Linked DNA regions of Xenopus tropicalis. The protein of the gene in region 6 binds, or shares a complex with, the protein of the main gene of each other region. Links are inferred from orthologs where the notes say so. Each region holds a gene or a part of one and is shown on either strand. Other genes may lie near its edges. The genes, in order: med12, med24, med21, med7, med26, med25 and med18.

Region 1 (3,017 bases), on a different chromosome or scaffold from region 6:
CTGTCCTAGACATGCTCAGTGTTCTGATCAACGGAACTCTGGCAGCTGATATGTCCAGTATATCTCAGGGGAGCATGGAAGAGAATAAAAGGGCATACATGAACTTAGTAAAGAAACTGCGGGTAAGGGATTCTATGCATGCCTTTTTTCCTATTTGTATAGAAACAACCACATCTCTTCTAATCTCTTCTTTCTATGTTTCCTGTAGAAAGAGCTGGGTGATCGTCAGTCTGAGAGTCTAGAAAAGGTTCGTCAGCTCCTTCCTCTCCCCAAGCAGACTCGGGATGTAATAACTTGCGAGCCACAGGGATCTCTTATTGATACCAAAGGCAACAAGATTGCAGGTTTTGATTCTATTTTCAAAAAGGAGGTGAGTGCTTTAAGCTTTAAGTCTTGCTGTGCAATGCATGACCTTGGTATAGCTGCTACTGCAGGTGACAGGACAGTAAAGAGTAAATTGGAGTTTCAGCTTCTATAGTTAGATCCTTTCAGTTGATAGTTCTACTCCACTGCTCTGTGGTCCTTCTTCTGAGTAAGACACCCAGGATCTCTGGTTGCCCTAAAACACAACATATCAAACATGTATCAGAAAGCTGCAGGCTGACAGCTGGGGTTTGACCAGGAACAGAGCCCTTTTGCAGTACACCCAGATGTAGGCCACCTTGGGGCTTCTTGGCTAGGATCCTCTTAGCCACCGTGTTTTGTCCCAGAAATTAAGAATAAATAAAATTAGGATTGTACTCTCCTTTTCCTTACCGTTGGTACATTTCCTCTCTGCGGCTTCCCACTAACCAGCCTGCATTTTGCCTGCCTTTGCTGCTTTTCTTTTTCACATCGATTTTCTCCCTAAATATCTCCTCCTTCCTTCTACAGGGTCTTCAGGTTTCCACCAAACAGAAGATCTCCCCTTGGGATCTGTTTGAGGGGATAAAACAGTCTGCTCCTCTTTCTTGGGGCTGGTTTGGTACTGTACGTGTGGACAGACGTGTGTCTCGCATGGAGGAGCAACAACGTTTGCTCTTGTATCACACCCACTTGAAACCAAAGCCTCGTAGTTACTACCTAGAGAACCTTCCTCTTCCACCTGAGGATGAAGAACCTCCTACTCCTACAAGTACCGAGCCTGACAAAAAGCTCAGCGAGGCTCTTAAGGTGGACAAAAGTGGAGTGGGTGGCACCACTAACACTGATGACAGGAAGAAGCCAAGCAAGCCCAAAAGAGAGAAAAAGAGGAACATGGCACCCAGCAAAGTAGAGGTTTGTCTGTCTCTTTTGTTCTCCCAGCGTGAGCACCAAGATTTACTGTTATCCGCAACAAGATATTTGAGTTGCAATCTCAAATATTGTAGTTGCTACTCAAATATCTGAGCACTTCTTTGCCACTTCCTACCATCTTAACAAGCCCTTTGCTTGTGACCTAATAGGAATTTCCACTTGGTCCTGGCCGCCCGGGCCCTTATGGAATGGTCCCCACTGATCTTCTGCATACCCAGGCTGCTGGAATGTCCCGTTTACCTTATGCAACCCAGAACATGTATGCTCAGAACCAACCACTACCACCAGGTAAGTATATGTCTTACTTCCTTTGGCAATAAACTTTCAAAAGGAAATATTCTAAGCCTTCCTGTTCTGAACACTCCTAGGTGGTCCGCGTCTAGATAACTCATACAGACCTACGCGGATGGCTATGGTAAAGGTTCCTGCCCGACCTCAGTATGTCAGTGGAGTCCCTCAAGCTGGGATGATGGACTCATACAAGCCTGTGATGTACAGACCACAGCCGCCAATTCCTCAGGGGCAACTATTAAGACAGCAGCTGCAGGCTAAGTTGGTGAGTTTGAGGTTGTTTTTGGTGATCAGGAAAATTTGGATAAATATAAATAGTGTTCAGTGTCTTTGCAAGGCTGTTTTAGCCAGAGATCAGTTTTCACTGGTGGTTCTGCATACAAGAGCTTTGACCTTCCCCCTTCGTAGTTTGTGGGAGGAATGTGCATTTCAGAGAGGACCTGAGATTAGCACTAAAAACTTATGCAGATTTTTGGTAAAATAGTGGTGGTCTCTTATGTAGTTTACTCCATACACATCTGTGTGTCAGTATTACTCGGGCAGATTCAGAATATTATCGTCTCCTTTATAGGCACAAGGAATGATGCCGCAGCCTGTACGGCAGATGAGTCAAACTCCTTCATATGGCTCTATGCAGCCTCAGGTATGAATGGGGGGATTAAGTGGGTTGTTTCATTCTGTATTTTTCTGAGAACTGACTTGTTTACTCTTCTTTTGCCACCATTTTAATTATATCATAAAATGTCAAACTTTTTTTTATGATATTATTTCTTTTCTTACTGTACTTCCCTAGGGTTACACATCATATGGCTCTCATATGACCTTGCAGCAACACCCTCCTCCATCCCAGGCTGGTGCTTTGGTGCCCCCACCATACAGTACTCAGCAATACCCTGGATCTCTTCCCCCTTCTGGTGGGGCTCTTCTTGATCCAGTGCGCCAGATGCAGCAGAGACCCAGCGGCTATGTGCACCAGCAAGCCTCTGGTTTCAGTCACAGTGCTTCAGCTGGACAAAGGTATGTACAGCTGTAGATAGGCGTGTCAGTTGCTGATTAAATGACCATAATAACACTGTTTGTACCATTGCAGATTCCCGCACCAGCAGATAACTCAGACAGGCATGATGCCAAGCATGGGTCACCTTACTACACAGCCAGTAACAGGTGCAATTCGGCCTCAGCTGTTACCTGAACAGCAGCAACAACAACAGCAGCAGCAGTATTTAAGACAGCAACAGATATTAAGGGTAAGAGGTTAGAAAACTAAGGGGCTATGATAATATTTTCAAACTAGTTTCTATATCTGGCCTCCTGGGTTGCTAGGCCGAGTGACAGAGGCTTAGGGATTTGCAGAATTTATTTTGAGTAATAAGCAGACATAACTATTTTCAGCAACAACAGCAGCAACAACAACAACAACAACAGCAGCAGCAGCAGCAACAGCAGCAGCA
Region 2 (4,264 bases), on a different chromosome or scaffold from region 6:
TAGCTGTGCCCCTCATTTTAGATGACTTGACATACCTTTTCATATTAAGGGTTAAGTTTTAACTTTTGTTCCTTTGGAGTCCTAGGATTCATACACCAGTGGATGATGCAGAGGTTTATTTGCTGATCACTTTCTTTTCCCTTAGCCACACCCACATTCATTAGTAGAGTAAACGTTATCTTTTTGCCAGTACAGCACTCTGTAGTGCCAGTTTTCTCTTTACACCATGTTTTTGGATCAGTATGAAGAATCCTAGCTGCTCACTCAAAGGAAATCTGGTCAGCTGATGGCATTAATAACGATTGTTGGGGACAGTAATGGATGGTATTGAACTGGGTATACAGTAATCCAATTGTGTGGGGTGCACCTGGCACAAAGACCTTCTGAGCAGATGATTTTTTAAAAAACACTTGGTTAACAGTACTATAACCAGACATGTCAGCTAACCACATGTATATTTGCCATCTTTTTGCACAGATAATACCAGCAGGGGTAGGGGCAGGTCAGTATAGAGACTGGCTGTGACATAAAAGGGTGGATGGAGTTGTGACATCAAGGGTCAAATCTGATGTTGGTAGTATGACTGGTGTCTGTTGGAGCTGAGATGGGAGTGGTGTGCTTGGTCAGATAGATTAGTTATTACAAATATATATCCAAGTACATTGATGGTAAATTTGTAATACTGGCAATGCCCTAGGCTGGTAAAATACTAACCAGGTGGCAGCCCTAAACCTGTCAGTCAGGGTTTCCTCTTCACTTTCAATAGCAACATGAAAAATGGTCTTAAAAATACCCAGAGTGGTTAATTATTTGCAATATCTACATTTTTACAGGAGAGTTTAGGCCATGCCATGACCATGTTCATGCCCCTACTCCTCTGGCTCTGCCATCTTTACCTGAATCTGCGGGGATTTGGGGGTTTAGGCCTTTTAAATTACAAGATTGACTGAGCTATAACTATGGATGTCTAGGGCCAGAATAGCATTATTCCCAACCCAAATCTGCATTATCACCCTAAGGATTGTCTTGACAACTAAATCCTCAAATGCTGTTATGAGGTGACAATAAAGCACTTTATACTGAAGCCACTGTCCCTTTAATAAAAGCAGATCCAAAAACATATAACAGAAACCACTTATAAAGGAGATAGGAGACGCAAAAATACATTAATAAAATGACCAGTTGCAAAGTGGCTTATATTTCTTCCATCTTCTAGCTACTTCAATTTAATTTAAAAGTTAACTTTCCATTTAAAATATCAACCAAAAATGAAGCAGAAGTTGTCCCATGACAATTTGACGTTCCCGAAATTAGCCATCATTCCTCTCTATTAAAGTTGCCGTTTTGGCCTTTACAAAGATGGCGGGTTTTCGTTTCCTTATACGCAGCCAGCACGCTTTCCTCCTGTTTCGACCTTCCCAACATGGCGCCGATTCGATTTTTACACGCATCAGGGTTACGGATGACGTAAGCCGTAAAGGACTGGTACACCCTCCGCCCCCTTGCGGCGATTCCCTTTTGTGCGAGGGGTCGAAATTGTTGCTTCCGGGGACCGGACATCGGAGGCGATAGCCGAGAGAGGGAAAGCGAGTTACTCGGTGACTAGCGAGGCACTGTGGTAATAGGGACAGCGAATGAGTGAGAGGTGGGTACTGCTACTGTTACTACGAGCGTATATAGGAGACATCTCAGGGCACATAGAGACATGCTATAGTGTTTTTGGCAGGGTTTAGGTGGGAGTCTGAAGATTTGGTTAGGAACTGTATGACATACATGTGTATTGGGATTATATATATATATATATATATATATATATATATGCCAGCACTGTGGGTACTTACACATTACATGCTAATACTGTGCCATACAGGTGGTTACTTACAGGTGGTACAGAGGGCACTGTAGTTAAAAGTGGGCACTCCTTACTCCATCACTTTCCACTTCCTCAGACCCTGGTGTCAACAATGAAAGTCAAACCCACAGACTGAGAATTGCAGACTCAGATACACACTGGCCAAATTTACTACACAACTGTAGACTTGGTTTAACACTGTATTAGGTCTTTGGTACTTGGGTGTTTTGAGTGCCACTGCCCCTGTGTCAGGCAGGGTGCTTTTCATTGATTAACATTACAACTAGCTTCAGACAAGCCCCCTGTGTGTAGTTTTAGTTTTAAATGGGATCAATATCTTTCTCCTTAAAGGAGTATTCCACCCAAACACAACTTAAGCATTTGGAAAAGTATACATGAATCTGGCTGACTACTTTGTGACTCAAATAAAATGTAACAGTAGTCACCTGTCTTCAGTCTGCATATTCCCAATCCCACAATTCCCTGTTGCACATGTGATGTCAATAAGGAAAGAAACATCACAGTGCAATGCATTGTGGGTTATGTGAATCTTGCATGCTGTCTGTAAGCTGTGGAGAGGTTGTTACAATTTGTAACATCAGTGTTTTAGTCCCTCCTTCCCTGCCAGGATTTTAAATGATACAGAAAGAGAAGAACTGTTTTGCAGCTAGATTTCAGCATATCAAAATGGTATTTATTCATACCTTTTGAAGGAACAGATTACAGTGATAGGTATATTAGAGGTTTCTGTGTTGTGTGGGGCTCTTTAGCAAATTTTTGTTTTGTTTTTGTAGTTCCCCTTTAATGTCATCAGTGTCTTACAGAACTGCTGCTTGGTATAGAACTGAGCAAAGAAGCATCAGGAGATTATTTCTTGTTCATTAAAGTAGAACAGCAGTGAAGCTTTTGTTACATACAATCAGTAATGAAGATGAAAAATTAAGATTATCTCAAAAAGTTATAAAGCTATGGTTCCACACAAAATCCTTTTGGCTGATTTTGAAAATATTCATTTTCACTTTTCAGCGTGACTATATGCATGCTGCTTTGTACTTTCATTTTTAATCAGTTTTCCAAATTTCTAATTGATATCTTTAACTTGAATTGAAAAATAGTTTGAATTTTTTAAATCCAACTCCCATTGACTTCAAGATGAACTTGTCAGCTTTTAGACACAGATTCTTTAATTTGAATCCCTGAGTTTCAGAAAATGAATGTATTTAGCTTTTTGCTGAGTAGCTCTCCAGTTTGCAATTTCAGCAGCTATCTGGTTGCTAGGGTCTTGGTTACCTTAGCAACCAGGCAGTGGTGTGAATGACTGGAATATGAATAGAAGAGGGACTAAATAGAAAGAATAAGGAATAAAAAGTTACAATAAAATGAAATTGTAGCCTCAAAGAGCAAATGTTTTTTGGCTAGTGGGGTCAGGGGACCCCCATGTAAAGATAGCAAATAATTAAAAAACTATTAAAAACAAATAATTAAGACCAATTGCAAAGTTGCCAATAGTACATTTTATAACATACTAAAAGTTATCTTAAAGGTGAACCACCTCTTTAAATCACAGTAAAAACTTGTATACAGATTTATATAAATCTGACCCTAAATGTTTTCTATGCCAGCAAAGAAAAGGCTGGCGTTGTTAAAACCTTGTTTTCATAGAAGACATTGGAATCCTCTGATTCCACTGTGAGAAGTAAAAAGAACCCTACAAATTCAGGATACCTTTTGGACAATTTCACCCATAATATTCTCCATAATTAACCTTTTTGCCCCTAAATTGCGAAAAATCTGGCCCATGTTTGCACATAAAACACTGGGATCCTCTGATGCATCTGTGATTTAAAAAAAACAAAAAACTCCACATTATTAAAAAAAATCAATTTCACCTATTTTCTTCCACTAAATTGGCCCATATTTGTGCCTAAATTGTGAAAAATCTGGCCTTCGTTTTCGTGTCGACTTTCAAAAGCCACTGTGAAAAAAAGAACCTAAACACACTAGATGCATTTTAGTAGTTTCATTCACTGTCTTTTCCTAAATTAGCTTTTTGTCCCTAAATTGTGAAAAATATTGTCGTCGTTTTGACAGAGCACTGGAATCCTCTAAAGAGCCTAAAGAACTTTGGCCAATTTTACACATTTTCTTCTGTTTAAGTAGCCCTTCGTTTGTGCATATATTGTGAAAAATCTGTCCCTAGTTCTTGCATTAAAAACACTTGGACCCGCATTCAGTCACTGCATTCTCTTAAATTACTTTTTTTCTTGTTCCAAAATTGTGAAAAAATATGACAGTTTGCACAAAAATTAGACCAAAGTCTGATGCCAAAGTAAAAGAGCCTAAAACATCAATTACATTTGCAAATCAAAATAACTGCTTATTTATATGTTACTTTTGGTGACAGCTGGTGTG
Region 3 (4,184 bases), on a different chromosome or scaffold from region 6:
TGAACTTCCCCTACAGAGGCCCATAGCAACAGACTGGGAAACGAGTATGAAGGCACTAAAGCAGAACAATCGATATAATGTTTTGATATAAATATAGGGGGGAGTGTATTTCCTGGTACCCATGTGACTGTCTCTGCTTCCTGTGCACGGGGGAGTGTATTTCCCGGTACCCATGTGACTGTCTCTGCTTCCTGTGCACGGGGGAGTGTATTTCCTGGTACCCATGTGACTGTCTCTGCTTCCTGTGCACGGGGGAGTGTATTTCCTGGTACCCATGTGACTGTCTCTGCTTCCTGTGCACGGGGGAGTGTATTTCCTGGTACCCGTGTGACTGTCTCTGCTTCCTGTGCACGGGGGAATGTGTTTCCCGGTACCCATGTGACTGTCTCTGCTTCCTGTGCACGGGGGAGTGTATTTCCTGGTACCCATGTGACTGTCTCTGCTTCCTGTGCACGGGGGAATGTGTTTCCCGGTACCCATGTGACTGTCTCTGCTTCCTGTGCACGGGGGAGTGTATTTCCTGGTACCCGTGTGACTGTCTCTGCTTCCTGTGCACGGGGGAGTGTATTTCCTGGTACCCATGTGACTGTCTCTGCTTCCTGTGCACGGGGGAGTGTATTTCCTGGTACCCGTGTGACTGTCTCTGCTTCCTGTGCACGGGGGAATGTGTTTCCCGGTACCCATGTGACTGTCTCTGCTTCCTGTGCACGGGGGAGTGTATTTCCCGGTACCCATGTGACTGTCTCTGCTTCCTTTGCACGGGGGAGTGTATTTCCCGGTACCTGTGTGACTGTCTCTGCTTCCTTTGCACGGGGGAGTGTATTTCCTGGTACCCGTGTGACTGTCTCTGCTTCCTGTGCACGGGGGAGTGTATTTCCCGGTACTCCTACCCCGTGTCTATAAACGCATTGGCTGATACACACAGAGCAGTGACAGACAGTTTCACACCCTTTGTGTGCTGGTCTGGTAGTCAGTGCTGGGGGTGTGTCAGTGCGCAGTGGGCGTGGTTACAATGGCATTTGGGTGGGTAACGGGGCAGTTTGGGGGCCACTCGCAGTCTCTCACCTTCAGTGGGGTTGGGCGGTTGGTCCTTGTTGATGCCCGTCTGGATGTTGCTGAAGGAGGCGGGGGGAGCGCACTGCTGGAGGACCCCGATGGCATTGCAGAACTGATCGGCCAGCTGGAGAGACAAAGGGGAGGGGTTACAACTCCATTCATCCAATGCCCCCCTGGCACTGAGGGAGTTAATAGGCTGGTATTAAACTGACCTGCTACATTGTGTCAGGAGTCAGAACCTGGGGGTGGAGCTGGGCACTGCTGCCAATAGCAAGTACTTATCTGTACCGGGATATATATATAGGGATTTACGGGGCTATATATGGGATATATGGGGCTATATATAGGGATATACGGGGCTATATATAGGGATATACGGGGCTATATATAGGGATATACGGGGCTATATATAGGGATATACGGGGATATATATGGGATATACGGGGATATATATGGGATATACGGGGATATATATAGGGATATACGGGGATATATATGGGATATACGGGGATATATGGGATATACGGGGATATATGGGATATACGGGGATATATATGGGATATACGGGGATATATGGGATATACGGGGATATATATGGGATATACGGGGATATATATGGGATATACGGGGATATATATGGGATATACGGGGATATATATATGGGATATACGGGGATATATATATGGGATATACGGGGATATATATGGGATATACGGGGATATATATGGGATATACGGGGATATATGGGATATACGGGGATATATGGGATATACGGGGATATATATGGGATATACGGGGATATATATGGGATATACGGGGATATATGGGATATACGGGGATATATGGGATATACGGGGATATATATGGGATATACGGGGATATATATAGGGATATACGGGGATATATATGGGATATACGGGGATATATGGGATATACGGGGATATATGGGATATACGGGGATATATGGGATATACGGGGATATATGGGATATACGGGGATATATATAGGGATATACGGGGATATATATAGGGATATACAGGGGGATATATAGGATATACAGGGGGATGTGGGATATACGGGGATATATATGGGATATACAGGGGGATGTGGGATATACGGGGCTATATATGGGATATACGGGGATATATAGGATGTACGGGGATATATATGGGATATACAGGGGGATATATGGGATATACGGGGATATATATGGGATATACAGGGGGATATATAGGATGTACGGGGATATATATGGGATATACAGGGGGATATATAGGATGTACGGGGATATATATGGGATATACAGGGATATATATGGGATATACAGGGGGATATATATAGGGATATACGGGGATATATATGGGATATACAGGGGGATATATGGGATATACGGGGATATATATGGGATATACAGGGATATATATGGGATATACGGGGATATATATGGGATGGGGCGGCGATATAATCCGCATCAGCTGAGGGAACCCTCATAGACATGGGGTTCTGGGTAATAAGATCCATTGGACACAGTGTGGGGGCTGCGAGCAATGAATGGAATAAACCATTAGTTACAATGTGACTATAAAGCCGAGATGGGACCCAACTGCGGGCAGCGAGAGGATGTATTTCCCTTCCCCACAAACCCCACAAACCCCACACACAGATAAAGCGCTCACCGAATTCAGCGCGTCCTGGAGCTGCGTCAGCCGGTCCGCCATCTTTCCAGCTGGCAAAGCCGAACCAGCCGCCCATACCTTCAGCGCCGCTTCCTATTGGCTAACTGGTACAATAAAGGTTTCTATTGGCTAAGGGTCACTGCGGCGTTTTCTCAATAGGAGGAACGAGAAACGCCTATTTCTATTGGCCAGCCTCAGTAGAGGCGGGGTTGTAACGGCGGAAAGGAGACTGCGCATGTGTACTTCTACCTACACTGGACGTTCCCTGCCAACTTGCTAAATAGCGTTCAGTGTGATACCTCTTTTGGTCGCTAGAGGGCGATGCTGCCTATTGGACAATTGTATTCAGGTTTTATATTCCATTTATGATGGAAGGGGGGGGGGGGGCCATAATCCTCCATGGGCTACACTTTTGCTGTGGAGTTGCTGCTACAGAGTCGCCAGTCTGTCTATGTTGTTTCAGGATAAATAGAATCAAGAAGAATTTAAAGAGACAGTGTTATTGGTGCCTGTGGGATTGCTGGGATTGCTCTCTAACCCTGATCCTGTTACTGGGGGGTCTCAGAGAGCGAGTAAATAAAGATAATTCCATAGAGATACAGTGGCCCTGGGGCCCCTGGTTAGCACATAAGGGCCCTAAGAAATTGGGACCCAAATTGAATATGACTTTCCCTTATTATCTGTATTGAAAAGCCTGTGTGGGCAGTGCCTGCTTAGACTTTCTTTTTTGTTATTGTGTGCCCAGAACATTCCTTCTCTGTATATTTGTATTTATACATATGGGTAGGAGGTGCCATAGTGTTTCCCTTAGACAGTACAGTATGGGGGTACAGCTTATTGTGTGCCCAGAACATTCCTTCTCTGTATATTTGTATTTATACATATGGGTAGGAGGTGCCATAGTGTTTCCCTTAGACAGTACAGTATGGGGGTACAGCTTATTGTGTGCCCAGAACATTCCTTCTCTGTATATTTGTATTTATACATATGGGTAGGGGGTGCCATAGTGTTTCCCTTAGACAGTACAGTATGGGGGTACAGCTTATTGTGTGCCCAGAACATTCCTTCTCTGTATATTTGTATTTATACATATGGGTAGGGGGTGCCATAGTGTTTCCCTTAGACAGTACAGTATGGGGGTACAGCTTATTGTGTGCCCAGAACATTCCCTCTCTGTATATTTGTATTTATACATATGGGTAGGGGGTGCCATAGTGTTTCCCTTAGACAGTACAGTATGGGGGTACAGCTTATTGTGTGCCCAGAACATTCCCTCTCTGTATATTTGTATTTATACATATGGGTAGGGGGTGCCATGGTGTTTCCCTTAGACAGTACAGTATGGGGGTACAGCTTATTGTGTGCCCAGAACATTCCTTCTCTGTATATTTGTATTTATACATATGGGTAGGGGGTGCCATAGTGTTTCCCTTAGACAGTACAGTATGGGGG
Region 4 (3,122 bases), on a different chromosome or scaffold from region 6:
CTGCAACTGATGGGGATTCCTGTAATCTCACCAACCTCCTTAGGAAATAAGGCCTAGGTGCCCACAGCACCACCCTTCTGAAAATAACAACTGGCTGGGGCAGCCAACAAGTTTACCTTCCAAATATTTTGGCCAGCATCTGTAGACTGCAGGGTGGAGCTTACTTAAACATATCCATTCTACCAATCAGAATGAGGATGGAATGTTGTAAATGCACAGATCCTGGTACTCATGTTTTTGTTTCTGTATAGCAGCTCTTGTCCCTGCACCTTAGTGCTCACAGTGTGTTGTTATTTACAGTGCAGCATAGCATCCTCCTATCATGATAAAATGTATATTCATTGCTACCATTCATGAATTTGATCCCAACCTAAGCACAGTCATTTAACCCTTGCTTTGTCACAAAGGCTGACACAGGGGAGATAGAAAGCTTGCATGTAATGTGAATGCACACAGCATCCTTAATGGAGGTGGATAATTAATAGGAAAGATGCTAGAAGTGACAGAGGGTTAAAACTATAATGCAGTAATACAAATATTAAAGTAAATAAACATGATAAACTGTAAAGGCGAGCATTTCAAAATATGGACTTCTCCTATAACAGATAACAGCACCCATTTTGGGATTTTCATGCTCCAAACCAATCTGAGACTAAAATATTCCAATTCAGAGAGAAAAAGATACAAACAATTGTAATATTAACTTTTAAATAAACTTTGATATCTCAGAACATGTGAATAACTGTACAAACATAACTTGCAATGAGTAGATTCCATACATAGTATATCAGTTAGATAACATTCAAAAGTCTGACCCCAGTCCTTTGTCTGTTTAATCACAAATAAGCAGTTACCACCCAGGTGTTGCAGAACTACAACCTTCCATTCCTCATACACATGAACTGGCAGGGAAAACACTGAAAAATATTAGCCTTCTTGCATACTGCCTTTTCAAAAGCATGGCAGAAAAGCACAATAAACAGACATGTACATGAGCAATAGCTGTGACTGAGTTCCCTTGGGACAAACATTTTCCTTGCCAAGTCCCATGATGAATACAACCAACACATAGAGCCATGCTATTGCATTTCAATGAATCCTTGTGACTTCTAAAGTTCAAGAGTCCTGATTAGAACTGCTTATTGGACTAGGTCATTTCATCGATGATAACACACATAGCTGCATCCTTATCAATTGTGGTCTCTTTCAGAGAAGCTGCTGCTGCCTCCTGGGGCCCCGCATGATGGTCCGTACAGGGTTCCCGAACATCCATTGGTTCAGTTTTTACACTGACTGCGCCATCAGAAAGAGGGAGGTCATTGGGTAGCGATGCCAGACAGTTCTGGATCATCTCCACCACTCGCTCTAGATGTTTCTGGAACCTCTCTGCCGTTTCCAGCCGCTGACGTTTCTGCACCTCCATCATCACCCGCAGGGTCTCACGTGCCTGGTGGGGCCTGTACTCATTAATAAGGTGGTGCATGTGAACAAATAACAACTTTAGGTCCTCCAGTTTCTCCTCCCTTCGGATGCTGCCTGGGCTTCGGATCAGGATGTCCAACATATCCAGAAAGTTGACCAGGATGGACATAAGGAGCTTCCTCAGCTCCTTCTTATGGTCGAACTGCATGGGGTGGAGCCTCTCGATGCCCTGAGTTTCCAGAGGGCGGATAATAAGGTCATCACACTGAAACTGGTTGCCAAACATCATGTAGCTGTCCTTTATGGGGAGGGGAGGCTTGGGGGCCAGGCCCTTGCGGATGTTTTCATCTGTGTACTCCTTAATGTACTGCATGGGAGGTATAGGCAAAGCGCTGACCTGCTGAGGCTCCCCCATTATGAAGTGAGTAGGAGAACCTGTGACACAGAAAGAAAAAGCCCATTCAGTTACATACAAATAACAATATAAATCCCTGTGTGTGCAGCACATATATATATATATATGCATTCCAATTGATGATGCGCACTCCTGTATTTTTTTAGTTCATTTATTGTTACATTATAAAGTTAAAAACATCAACGTTTCGGTCCAGGTCTAGGACCTTTATCAAGATGTTAAGCCATAAAAAGTCACACACATAATGAGTCTTTATATAATACAAAATGCCTAACCCCGCCCACATTGAGCATAGCCCCAACCCCATTTCACAACCCTTAAGCTGGCCATACACGTGGCGATCTGACGATGTTTCGTACGACCATCGGTCGCACGAAACATTGTCAGATCCGCCACACACCTTTCAAGGCTGAATCGGCAGGTAAGAAGGTAGAAACAATAGGATTTTTACCTCCTTCTGCCGATTCAGCTCTGAAGGGAGAATTTTGGTCAGGCGCCTTCTATGGCGCCCGATCAAAATTTTCAAACTGGTCCGATCGGCGAGTCGGCCGATATCAGCAGATTCCTGCGATATCGGTCGACTCGCCGACATGCCATACACGCACCGATTATCGTACGAAACGAGGTATCCTGTATAGCACATACTGACCTGCTCCTCAACTCCTCTCTCATTCCCTCCTCACACGCTCGCATTCAAGACTTTGCAAGGGCTGCCCCCCTTCTCTGGAATTCGCTCCCACAAACTGTCAGACTTTCTCCCAATCTCTCTGCCTTCAAGAGATCTCTAAAAACACACTTATTTAGAGAGGCTTACCCTAATCTAGTTTAGCAATACCCTGTGCCACACCTCTCACAACTCTGGCCATGCCCATTCCCACACCTTGTGTCTCAACCCTTTCTCCTTGTAGATTGTAAGCTCTTTTGGGCAGGGCTCTCTTCACCTCTTGTATTGGTTATTGATTGCTTTATATGTTACTCTGTATGTCCAATGTATGTAACCCACTTATTGTACAGCGCTGCGGAATATGTTGGCGCTTTATAAATAAATGTTAATGTAATAAAATACACAAATTGTGAATTAAAGAAAACATATCAGTACAATTAATAAACACTATTACAATTAATTAATTGTACTGATGTGTTTTCTTTAATTCACAATTTGGGGTTGGGGCTCTGCTCAATGTGGGCGGGGTTAGGCATTTTGTATTATATAAAGACTCATTATGTGTGTGACTTTTTATGGCTTAACATCTTGATAAAGGTCCTAGACCTGGTCCGAAACGTT
Region 5 (3,410 bases), on a different chromosome or scaffold from region 6:
CAGCAATTTCAACAGTTTAGTGGTAATTGAGGTGTAAAATTATTAAAATATGGATTTGAGGGGGATTTGTGGAATGTTCAAGCCTGTCAAAACTATTTCAGAGACTGAACAAATACATGAAACAACTCAAATTGAAAAGGTAAGCCAAGGTAATGGATTTAAAGACTTTCTGCTCTCTCTTTTTACAAATTTAAAGGACCAGCTGAGATGCTAGGAACACAAAGTTTAAGTGCGTCAATATTTAAGACGCGGTTCTGTCAAATTAAATGGCAATAGAAATAAAATCTGGAAAAAAAAAATTAATTCAAATAAATAAATGCATACTTTGTTATGGTAAGGTAACATCTTCAACTTATTTAAATCATCTCACATAAGCTTTCGGTACCTGTCATATATATATATATTTATATATATTTTTATTCCAGCCCTTCTGCAGGTACCGGGAAAACCTCACTCTGATTTTAGGGTTGGTTTGAATTTAACACTTTTTTCTTTTTTTCTTTTTTTTTTTACTACAGCTCACTTGCTATATAGCCCTCCACTGCATTTCTTTTCCTCATTTATAGTATTAAACCGGTAGCAGCATTTTGCGCAAAGGGATGGGTGCAGCAGGCACTGAGACACCTGCGGATAATTCCCAGAATGTAGTAGTGACCCTCTAAACATCTCTTTTCTGCTTCTGGCTCTATCAGCCCCTCCATCTACCATCCCCAAAACTGAAATGGGGGCTCCTCACTCGACAAATCTCCTTTGATGAGCGGTGGTCGCTGAGCGACCCAGGGTTTTGCAGTGAAAACCGTGGATGTGAGAAAGCGGAATTGGGACCCGCGCTCAGTCTAGGCAGACATAAGGCAAGACGTTTAATCTACCATCATCCCCATGAGGGTCCAATGAGATGCACTGCGTCCAATCATACCAGTTGCCCTGTGTATCATGACAGCCATTGACACCAGGCCAATGTTGGTTGTGTATTCTGTCTGTGTCACTGCTAGTGATTTCCCTGGTTCTTCCAGGCAGATCACTTGGAAGAACAATTGGAACTAAAACATGAGTTTTCCTTGCTTCCCTCTTAGTGCATTCCTCCTGTTTTAAATATTCTGACATATAATAATGTGCACTCTGCGTCTGTACACCAGAGGAAGACAATAAGCTGCTCTGCCGATTGAGATAGGACTGGATGATTTCATTTCGAGACAGCTCTTTCCAGTTCGTAAGCTGAAAGGGACTAGGCAAGCATAACTTGGGATCCTGTTTGTCAGTCTCAGTCCTGTGTTGTTCTGAAGGAGCTGTACTCTCTGCTTGCACTGGATCTTTAAGGGTTAAGGGTTTAATTTGCCCTGTCATAACATCAAATGTTAGTTTGCGTTCTTTTTTTACCCTTGCTGGTTTACCAGTCCCATCTGCAGAATGCCCCTCAAACTCTGTTCGAAGTCTGGATTTTTTCCTCTTGCGGTTGTCTGAGCCTGATGTTGCATCATCACTATCTACTTTTGAGGACTCTGGTGAAAAGCCAGTACGGGGGGTTTGAGAGTCTACAAGGCTACTGCGGGGGGTGTGCTGTTGTGACGTTCTAGGTAAGACCTGGTGGCAATCAGTGGAGGGTAACTGTTCTACCGGCTTGTGTGGGGAGGAGATTCTGTCCTGTCGAGGGGACTCCAGTCTTTTTGCTGTGGCAGGGGGCGTAGAAGGGTGCAAAGGGGACTGATGTGCAGAGTCTACACCCGGTAGCCTTTGGGAAGGACTAGGAGCAGAACCCTTTGGTGCATATGTGGTGTGCTGCCGTGTAGCTAATTCTGCACGAGTGCCACGGGGACTAAAGGAGGAACAGCGGGGACTTCTGGGCTGGTGAGAAAGGACATCTTCCAACCCCCCACTGTGCTGCTGAAGGACAACTGCTTTTAGCAGAGAGGAAGTGCTTGGGTGTTTTACAAGTCCAGGAGAGTTGGTATGAGGCCGGACAGCATTTACTGGTATTTTTCCATGCTTGTCATTCTCAGCAGGTTCCAGTCTATTAGATTGCAAACCTCCATCCAGAGGGCTAGGGAGGTTCTCAGGGGGACTTCCCCCAATGCCATTTGTAGGTGGGGGTGAGGAGTTTTGAAAAAGCTCATGGTTGGGCTTGGATACATGTCCTGGGGTACTCAGGCCACCATCCCGATGTTCTCCTTTTCTCTTTCTGTTGGTTGTTTTATCTGCTTTTGGAGAATGTGCCCTCTGAATATCATTCCTGTCTTTCAGCCCCTGTATGGGCTTCCCACCAAGAAGAGTAGTTGGTGTAGGCTCTGCTTTGCAGTTGTGGGAGCCACCTCCATTGGCAGAACCTGGTAAGTTAGAGATGCCCCTGACAAGTTGTTCATTCTGGGTCACTGGCTCAATCAGCTTTTGCCAGTTTCTCAGCAGTTTCTTTGCACGCTTGGCAAGCTCCTCATTGCTGGTCTTTTTCCGAACATCATTAATCAGTTTTCCTAGTCGAGTTTCCTGGGGGTGGAAAAACACATTTCATAATAGTATGAGTAACTTAGAAAGTATATACCTTTAAGAAACCAAGATTTTATTTTTGAAATTAAAAAATAAAACGTTTGTAAAATAGATTAGCTACAGTGGTGCTCACCACCTTTTTTGAAGGAGCCACAGACTTAGAGCATACAGTGACATGAGTAACACCAAAAGTGTTTTAGTGTGTAATATATTTATATATACATACATACACACACACACACACACACATATATAATATAATATAATATATATATGTGTGTGTATGTGTGGATGTTTAGCCATGGGGGCAGCCATTCAAGCTAGAATGAGAAAAGTAACAGGTTATATAGCAGATAACAGATAAAACACCATTGTATTCTACAGGGTTTATCTTAGCTGCTATATTATTTATAGAGAATGTCAATTCACAGAGTGATTTACAGAATAAAAGGGGTACAAAAGACAAAATAGTTAACATGTAAATATAGACAATGCACAAAAAATGGTTTAGTTATGGCGGTAGAGTTCATGTTTGTGTGTGAAGTGACAGTAAGTGCAGAGTAAGAGGTGAAAACCAGTGGTTAGTGAGTGTATGAGAAATATTAGGGGTGTTCAGTGGGTAATTACATTTTTGAGGGCTTAGGCTAAAGGCTTGAATGAAAAGGTGAGTTTTAAGAGACCGTTTAAAAGCCTGGAGACTCTGGCAGTGCCTAATGGGATGGGGAAGAGCATCCCAGGCGATGGGTGCAGCATGTGAGAAGTCCTGCATGCGAGAATGAGAGGAGGTGATGAGTGAGAAGGAGAGAAGCAGGTTGTGTGCAGAGCAAAGGTAATGTCTGGGGGTGTACTTGGGGATAAGTTTTTGAGCTGAAACTGAAGATTTAGAGAGTGTTTGAATGTGGGGAAAGAGAGCAGAGTCAAATAAGACTCCT
Region 6 (3,959 bases):
AAGTTGGCCGTCTACAAGAGCCACGTGATTAAAAATACATGTATGGGACCTGGGTTATTCCGGGTAAGGGATCTTTCCGTAATTTTGATTTACAAACTTTAAGTCTACTAAAAACCTGTTAAAACATTAAACAAACCCAATAGGAATGTTTCGCAAAAAACAAAACAAAATCAATATTAAAATTATGAATGGGAGGTGGCTGTCCTGTAATTCAAAGTTTTCTGGATAATGAGTTTCTGGAAAACAGATCCCATACCAGTATTAGGTTCTAGCTAGCAGAGATCACATGTCTGTCTCAGGTGAGACTTACAGCAGTGAGAGAGAACAGAGAAGCAAATATCTTACCTAATGCTGTCCAGCCATTGGACAAATTCATAAGCACTGCTGGTGGGGGCATGACATTGGACATAGGATTCTGGAGCACAGTCCACCGTATTAAACACTACCAGGCTGTATTGGGTGCCGCCATACTGGAAGACAAAACAGCAGAATGTAAGCCCACATTTAGAAAACCAAGATAAATTGTCACAGAAGTAAATAGTGTTTATTGCGTTACTCACATCTCCTCCAAAGTCAGTCTCTGCTGGGGGTCCACCGTTAAAATACCTAAGAAAGAAAAGAAGAGGGGAAACGTTTTACTTTTAACAGAATAATGAATTTTAGCATAATATAGCATTTTAAAAAGTTTGGTGATATTTTGTTTACATACTACAGGGCTATGAGAATTCACAGCAGAAACTGTAAAGGTGGCCATGCATGGGCAGATTTAAACGGATTTGGCAGCTTATCTGCACTTGTATGGGGACCCCCAATGGGCATCCCAGAATGATATCTGGCTAAAAATCAGCAAGGTGTCAATTGGATGGGCGTTGGATTAGGGACTGTATTGGCTCATTGATGTGGTTCTCGGTCCAATGGCTCCAATAGCCGTCTTTGTCATTTGATTATCAAATTAGCCCGATTTGGCCCACCTTATTGGCCACCATATTGGGGAAAGATCCGCTGGTTTAGCAACCTTGCCAAACCAGTGTATCTTAACGTGCATGGCCACCTTAAGAAAGTGAAAGCTTCAGCTTTAAGGGAGAACAAAATGCATGGTTTAATTATGGGTCCCCAGTATTAGTCCCCTTTCCTTAACTGCAGCGAAGACACCCCCACCTTAGGATGGCCCTGCTTCCCATACTGGTGGTGTGCAGTTGTGCAGTGGGTTGTTCTTTAGCAGAAATACACATGTGCATGTAAAGGCAATAAGCTCCTTGAGTCAAGTGTTCATGCTCCTGGTTGGTGGCTGCTAAGAGAGAGCAGAGGCAGAACCCAGTCATGGCAGCCATTCACAGGGCAACTAGGGAGAGTGGTCAAATGCAGAGAATCCCTGTTTTTGTTCTACTTCAAAAATCCTGGGGGATTAAGTACTTCCTTACCAAATATTTGCAGTAGGACTTACTCTATTGCAGGTAACAGGTAATGTTTCCGTAGTGATTCAAAGTAAGGTCCTAAATTAGCCGTTCCCTCTATGACAAAGACAACATCGGATATTATGCCGCCGTTTCCTGGTGTGGCTGCATCCATTGCTGAAGCCTCTCACTGATCCACCCTAAGCGAAGAATAAAAATACATTCGTTTTCTTTCAGATTGTGGCAGCAGAAGCCCCTGATTGCTCTTTACTGCATTCACCTGCTGAAAACAACACAGGTTTCTTAAATGAGTCACACTTGCCATGTTTTTATTAAAGGGTCAAAATAAATAAGGTTTGGGTTGTACAAGCATTCTGCAGGATCTTTGAATTAATAAATATATTTGCTTTATTATAATAAAGTGGAAAATTGTTTTTGCTTACTACCTTCCCTGCTACCGTAATCAGAGTTTTTATATGGGGAATATTACCTCTGTTTAAACAAGCCCCTACCTTTGACAGATAAACATTTAAAAAAAATCATACTTAAGCCACATTCTACTTCCTGATCCCAAACAGCAGGGCCAAATAACCCAGCAGCCCACTAAAAGGCATCTGTATGAGTTACTCTTTATCAAAGAATAACAGGCTGGAGCTGTAGGAAGAGGGGTTTGTTTATACAGAGGCTGCTCAGTGGGCTGCTGGTTTGTTTGACTATGCTCATTGGGATCAGGAAGCAGAATGGAGCTTTAGTTTAATTTTCAAAGAAAAACTGTCCTGTCTTATAAAGGCGGCAATATATTCTGCTGCTCTGTATAACAGATCTGATGATTACACATCATTGCCCCCAGCCCCCTTCCCAGCAGAGCTTGCAATCTAAAGTCGCTATCACACTCACGCACATTATATCAGGAACCAATGAAACTTTTTGGATTATAGCCTAACACTGGGTACCAGGAGGCACCCATACAAACACAGGGAGACCCATTCTTTGTAGGTGATTTCCTTCCTGGAATCAAACCTAGGGAGCCCCCCAGCTCTGCCATCATTGCAGCTGCCTTTCCATAGAGATAAAGTCCAGTTACAAAGTTAAAGAAACACAAACAGACCAAGACACAAGTTTACACGTTCAGTTCAGCAACACCAAGAGGGAATCTGGTTGCCTTGGCATTAACCCTTCAGCTGCTGCGGGTCCCCATGAAAAGAAAGAGTATTACACATGTCTTCCTCCTACATGAACTAGGGCTTCCCACTGAGTCTGTGAACGTATAGACACACACACATACGTACCGCCCAACAGTCCCGCCTTTCGCGGGACAGCCCCGCTTTCCCTAACGCATCCCGCAATCCCAGCCGCTGCTTAATCGTCCCACAAACCCCGGCAATGTCCAGCGCCTCGGCTGCTGCTGCCGGACAGCTAGTCCCAAGTCTCAACTCTCATCTCGCGAGATTTTGACGTCACGCCGTACATTTATAAACGCGGTGACGCAACACGCAGCCGCTATTGTAGCTCAGGGATGACTGACAATGAAGTGTGGCTGTGATGTTCACTCATGAGTTGTTAGTTACACCCTATGGGGGCAGATTTTTCTCAATATAGTAATAAAACAAACAAAAAAAGGTAACAAAGTAATAAAACAAGGAACAAAAAGTATGTTTTACTTTTGTGTACCTGACCCAGCCTTATAAGCTCGTTTAGGAAGCCCATTCAGGCAGGGGTTTCTAGTTTAATAGGGGAGCTAGACCCTCACCAGCTGTTACCCATAAACAGACTTCTAGTTATTTTGAGCGCTGCTTTAGTTTTATGTGGAGACTATAGCAATATTTTTTTTACTTTAAAGGGGGAAAGTGGGCTAATTTAGGAGAATATAATGGGTGTTGGATATCAGTCCCAGTAATCGTTAGTGCCCTGGTGTTATTTGTGTGAACAAAGTTCATGTCCTGTACAATGTAGGGACATAAAAAGGGCTGGATAAGGAAAAGATATTGGGTGACAATCACTTTTGAGGGCAGTGGCACACATGGAGATGTCCCCGCAATAAATCTTCACTATTGTAGGCGCCGAATCTCCCCGACATGCCATCCCACTGGTAAGAATGTAAATCGCTGGTGGGATGGCATATGCATACCTCCCAACATTTGAAAAACAAAAAGAGGGACAAAAAGATTTGGTGCGCGCAGTGCGGCAAATTTTTTTGACCATGCCCACTTTTGTGGCCACGCCCCAATTAACACACCCCATTTTTTCTAAAAATACTCCTTTTATATAGTAGAAATGGTGGGATCAGATGCAAATGTGCTATACCCTCATACTGTACTACCTAAGGAAAACAAAATAGCAACTCCTACATATAAATACAAATATAGAGAGAAGGCAGTCAATTATGTATGTATGTATGTATAACTTTATTTATAAAGCGCCACAAGGGTACGCAGCGCTGTACAGTCTTACAATATACAGAATTACACACAGGGAGGACAAATGTTACAATACATATAAGTGAGTTTTAACTATCTACCAGTTTTGCCGCCCCACACAGGGGAGACAGTACCCCCCATACACAGT
Region 7 (4,168 bases), on a different chromosome or scaffold from region 6:
CAATGATGAAAACACCCCTGGCCACTAAAGAAGAAGGGCAGAATTGTTGTATATTACGTTTTGGGGGTTTCGAAAAGCCAAAGGTGACCACAGCTCTGTAGCAATGAATATATGTGCCTTTAAAGGAGACATATTGGATAAATGAGAAAAACACTTATTTTGTAGGCAATTATAAATAATATAAGGTGCTGGTTTCACTTTGTGCTAAAAATTAATCCTATCTGTAAAAATGGCCCCTTTATTGGAGCTCCCTATAGATTGTATCACTTCTCCGTCCAGTGTGAAATGAAGAGTGGGCGTGTCCTAATGGTCCCTTCCAGAAGCACAGTAGGAGGGGGAGAGCCAATCACAACCCTGCACTCACACAAGCAAAGACAGGCTTCAGTTCCCTATCAGGTCAGCCTAGCTGCTGATTGGTTCCTATCCTACAGTGTAGTGTACGGAGGGCCGCCGGCTCCCCAGCTCATCCAGAGAATTCAGCCAGCAGGAAGTGGAACTGATGGGCGGGACTAGTATGGTTTTGGTGGAATTTCTCAATAAATCAGGTGAGTGATGGAGGCATGGTCAATCAAGTCAGGGGTGGGGTTATGACGGGTGATCGGCCACTGGCAACTGTCAGTCTAAGAGAGTCTTGCCCTGTTTCCCTAATTTGAAAAACTGGGCAGGGAGTTTTGCCCCAAACAGTCCTCCCAAAAAGTGAGCTGTCCGAGTCAAACAGGGCAGGTCCTGAAGAGACAAAAATCAGTATTCAAGCTTTACCATTGTCATCTGTTCTGAGCAAGAAGTGGACAGACTTGCATATTTTTTGCAAGTTATAATTGAGTCAAAATTAAGCCACCAGTGCTAGCATTAACCAATGTTATCACATATTTGTAATTGCGCCAAGACAGGTTTAAGAGCAAGTAAAGATCTATGATTTGTACTAAGATATATGGTTGCCAGTAGTAGGGTGGCCCGATTACTTTAAATTTAGGGACATGTCTAAAAAATCCAGCTAGCAGGGCTGTATTGATTTTAAATGCAATCAGTGCTGCCCTGCAACATGTATTTATTAGACGTGGTCCTGAATTTTCAGTAATCTAATCACCCACCAGTAGGGGAATTTTTGGTTTTGGCAGATCGTATTGGCTTCCTACGAAATAAGGGGCAAAATACCCCCCTCCCCCCACGACTGCGTTAATACCTTCTATTTCGAGCGTCCTCTCCTTTACGGCACATACAAGCGTGCTACGTCACGGCCCAGTCTTCCGTGCCTCAGCAGGCACCCTGGTGCCCCGCCCTCACCCCAAGTGCGTCACACGCACGCAGTACGCAAATGCAAAAGCTCCTGGTGTTCTGGAGCCAGCCTCCTGAGGACTTGAGGGAGAGTTGTTTTATGGCGGGTTAGCCGTGCACTTAGGCACCGGAACTTAACTTATTAGCTGCTTGAGCTTGCTGGCTGTGCTCTAAATGAAGTAATTGATCCCGTCGCATCCCGGTTCCATTCACTTATTTACAAAATTTTGTCGGGCACTTTGTTTTAGTAAGTGTATGTATTTATCAGCTGCCGTGTTTGTACCTCTGTGTCTTTATTGTTAATGAATTGTAAAAAGAAAACACAGCTCTGCATATACAGTTATTACATAAAAATGTACACACAAAACACCTAGGATTGCTGTCTTTTCAGTAGGAAATGACTGGCCTTACAGTCTTTGTTTTACTTCCTGCTTAATAACTTTGGAATAACGTTGGGATCCCCAAACCTTATTATGCATGAACCACATAGAAAGGTAAAAAGAGTTAGGGAGGAACACACGCATGTGAATGTTCATGGGGTGCCAAATATGGGCTGTGATTGGCTATTTGGTAGGCCCTATGTGGACTGGCTAATTTGAGGCTCTGTTTGGCAGTGCACCTGTTTTTTTAACCATAACTTGCCTCCAAGCCAGGAATTCAAAAATAAACACCTTTGAGGCCACTGGGAGCAACATCCCAGGAATAAAACAACATTTTGCTAGCCTGGTAGTACTCTACTTAACAGATCTAAAAGTGGGATGACCCCCATTTATGTCTATGTGAGGCTTGTGCACATAGTGCTATGTCAGGTATTGTTAAAGGAGAAGGAAAGGATGAATCACCGGGGTTGAACTCTTTGTGAAAGATTAGGCAAAAGTAACCTGATTTTAAGGATTTGGATATAGTTTGGCCTGAAGCTTGGATTTGGCTGAACCCTGCTGAAAAAGGCAGAATCTTCACCAAATCCTGAATTAGGTGCACCCCTAAATTAAACCATACCTAGGAAAGTAGGAAAATAATCTGAAGCATTGTACTGGCAAAGTGAATGCAATTGTTTCTGTTTTTATTCAGGACAAGTTCAGGCTGGAGGGGGGTTCTAGTAGAACATAAGCAGTGCAGTATTAGTGGAGATTCAGCCTTGTCTTGACTACAATTGTAAACATATGAATATTGTGTATAATATATTTGTTTTGTTTATTTAGAGAACTAACATTTTGCAATGGAGGCTCCCCCAGTCACAACAATGCCTGTATCTGGAGGAACTATTAACATGATGGAGTACTTACTGCAAGGTAAGAACAGCCTAACAAACTGTACTGTTACTGTATTAATGGTATTAGTTTGTCCCCTCTAACCAAAAAGTCTGTTTAGGCCCCTGTTTGTTTAGCAAGGTATACGAAAACATGGTTCTAGTAGTCACTGTATATAATTTTATAGCTGTCAAAAAATGTAAATAGCATTTGGTCACGTCACGGCCCGGTCTTCCCTGCCTCAGCCGGCACAAGCCCTGGTGCCCCGCCCTTACCCCCAAGTGTGACACACGCATACAGCTATGCAGAAGATCCTGGTGTTCTGTATATAATTTTATAGCTATCAAAAAATGTAAATAGTATTTGGTCACGTTTACAGAAAATAGCCTTCTGTCTCGGCATATCATTCCATTTCTTTTTAGCCCCAAGTAATGCCAGTCCTGCAGTTCATTTATTTTCTGTTTATTATGTTTATATAATGCCAACCTGATGAAGCACTAATTATTAGTCATTTACAAAAGCCTCTGCTCACCATTGGAGCTGCTATTATAGGGTCGTAATTAGTGATGCCTTACCCACACATGCCTGGCATCACTGGAGTGGAGGGGTTTGGCAGAATAAAGATATAAATAGGATGGTAGCCAGCTAGTGGAGTGCTGCAACATGCTGACATCACAGGGTGGTACATGGGTAGAGTCAGGACTAGAACAAGAAAAGTGTTGCACCAGCCCGATCATGCCCAGCCATTGGGTCCAGACATTTTAGGCTGGTCTGTGCAACACTAGTCTCAATCAACTTCACACAACAAAGGTTTGATTAAATTAAAATTTGGTTTATCTGTATGTTTTTCGAGAAAAATAAAAACATGCAGACATGCATAGATATTCCTGTTAGATAGTGCCTAGATAAAAATCAAACTCATGGCATCTGTGCTGAAAGGCACCAGTGGTAACCACTGGTGCCTTGACATGCACTGATAAAATCCTATGACTTTACAGTAAACTCTTTTGAGCAGGACCCTGTTTTACCTCTTGTATTGGTTATTGGTTGTATTCCTTAATTTTTTTCTTTTTTAATTGACAATTTTTTTGCATCTAAAAGTTTAACTCTCAAGATTTGCATTATATCTATATGTATCTCAAATACTGAATGTGTCTGTACGTGAATCACAGGAAGAGAGAGCATAGAGAGAGAAGGAAGTGAAGTAGGAAGAAAGAAAAGGAAGAGAACAGGGGAAAGAGAAAGGAGAAAGAAGAAAGAAAAAAAAATATGAAGAGCAAATAATATAAATTATTAGCTATAATTCCTGGATATCAGCCTCAGTAAAGTTCTTCCATGAGTCCCATTGCATTGTGATATTCAAGGGTTTGTGAGAGGTTGATAAAGTTTTTTAGTTCCAGCATTGAGGGAATAAGATCGGTTTTCCATTTTTGAGCTAAAAGAAGCCTTGCTGCTTCTAATATGTGTACTGCAAGGAGTTTGTTGCTTAAAGGAACAGTAACACCAAAATATGAAAGTGTTTTAAAGTAATTGAAATGTAATGTACTGTTGCCCTGCGCTGGTAAAACCGGTGTATTTGCTACAGAACGCTCCTATAGTTTATATAAATAAGCTGCTGTGTAGCCATGGGAGCAGCCATTCAA

Evidence for each region.
Region 1: med25 (region 6) and med12 share a complex: the UniProt entries of both Homo sapiens proteins name them as parts of the mediator complex. The link is inferred for Xenopus tropicalis from reciprocal best matches to the Homo sapiens genes MED25 and MED12.
Region 2: med25 (region 6) and med24 share a complex: the UniProt entries of both Homo sapiens proteins name them as parts of the mediator complex. The link is inferred for Xenopus tropicalis from reciprocal best matches to the Homo sapiens genes MED25 and MED24.
Region 3: med25 (region 6) and med21 share a complex: the UniProt entries of both Homo sapiens proteins name them as parts of the mediator complex. The link is inferred for Xenopus tropicalis from reciprocal best matches to the Homo sapiens genes MED25 and MED21.
Region 4: med25 (region 6) and med7 share a complex: the UniProt entries of both Homo sapiens proteins name them as parts of the mediator complex. The link is inferred for Xenopus tropicalis from reciprocal best matches to the Homo sapiens genes MED25 and MED7.
Region 5: med25 (region 6) and med26 share a complex: the UniProt entries of both Homo sapiens proteins name them as parts of the mediator complex. The link is inferred for Xenopus tropicalis from reciprocal best matches to the Homo sapiens genes MED25 and MED26.
Region 7: med25 (region 6) and med18 share a complex: the UniProt entries of both Homo sapiens proteins name them as parts of the mediator complex. The link is inferred for Xenopus tropicalis from reciprocal best matches to the Homo sapiens genes MED25 and MED18.

What each region holds. Positions count from the first base shown.
Region 1 is NC_030684.2:44,423,774-44,426,790, forward strand, and holds part of med12 (mediator of RNA polymerase II transcription subunit 12), read left to right. Parts: coding exon 1-122; intron 123-208; coding exon 209-370; intron 371-873; coding exon 874-1,257; intron 1,258-1,424; coding exon 1,425-1,563; intron 1,564-1,643; coding exon 1,644-1,831; intron 1,832-2,137; coding exon 2,138-2,209; intron 2,210-2,359; coding exon 2,360-2,583; intron 2,584-2,656; coding exon 2,657-2,813; intron 2,814-2,958; coding exon 2,959-3,017. UniProt on the Homo sapiens protein: Component of the Mediator complex, a coactivator involved in the regulated transcription of nearly all RNA polymerase II-dependent genes.
Region 2 is NC_030678.2:112,543,924-112,548,187, reverse strand, and holds the start of med24 (mediator of RNA polymerase II transcription subunit 24), read left to right. Parts: upstream 1-1,464; 5' UTR 1,465-1,645; intron 1,646-4,264. UniProt on the Homo sapiens protein: Component of the Mediator complex, a coactivator involved in the regulated transcription of nearly all RNA polymerase II-dependent genes.
Region 3 is NC_030679.2:3,065,995-3,070,178, reverse strand, and holds the start of med21 (mediator of RNA polymerase II transcription subunit 21), read right to left. Parts: upstream 2,801-4,184; 5' UTR 2,775-2,800; coding exon 2,733-2,774; intron 1,181-2,732; coding exon 1,066-1,180; intron 1-1,065. UniProt on the Homo sapiens protein: Component of the Mediator complex, a coactivator involved in the regulated transcription of nearly all RNA polymerase II-dependent genes.
Region 4 is NC_030679.2:14,184,237-14,187,358, reverse strand, and holds med7 (mediator of RNA polymerase II transcription subunit 7), read right to left. Parts: upstream 1,869-3,122; 5' UTR 1,838-1,868; coding exon 1,148-1,837; 3' UTR 501-1,147; downstream 1-500. UniProt on the Homo sapiens protein: Component of the Mediator complex, a coactivator involved in the regulated transcription of nearly all RNA polymerase II-dependent genes.
Region 5 is NC_030677.2:112,253,949-112,257,358, reverse strand, and holds the end of med26 (mediator of RNA polymerase II transcription subunit 26), read right to left. Parts: intron 2,479-3,410; coding exon 832-2,478; 3' UTR 501-831; downstream 1-500. UniProt on the Homo sapiens protein: Component of the Mediator complex, a coactivator involved in the regulated transcription of nearly all RNA polymerase II-dependent genes.
Region 6 is NC_030683.2:117,454,692-117,458,650, forward strand, and holds the start of med25 (mediator of RNA polymerase II transcription subunit 25), read right to left. Parts: upstream 2,801-3,959; 5' UTR 2,684-2,800; intron 1,678-2,683; exon of another isoform or gene 1,595-1,677; 5' UTR 1,570-1,594; coding exon 1,445-1,569; intron 607-1,444; coding exon 561-606; intron 471-560; coding exon 346-470; intron 1-345. UniProt on the Homo sapiens protein: Component of the Mediator complex, a coactivator involved in the regulated transcription of nearly all RNA polymerase II-dependent genes.
Region 7 is NC_030678.2:78,266,383-78,270,550, forward strand, and holds the start of med18 (mediator of RNA polymerase II transcription subunit 18), read left to right. Parts: upstream 1-1,368; 5' UTR 1,369-1,522; exon of another isoform or gene 1,523-1,528; intron 1,529-2,477; 5' UTR 2,478-2,494; coding exon 2,495-2,567; intron 2,568-4,168. UniProt on the Homo sapiens protein: Component of the Mediator complex, a coactivator involved in the regulated transcription of nearly all RNA polymerase II-dependent genes.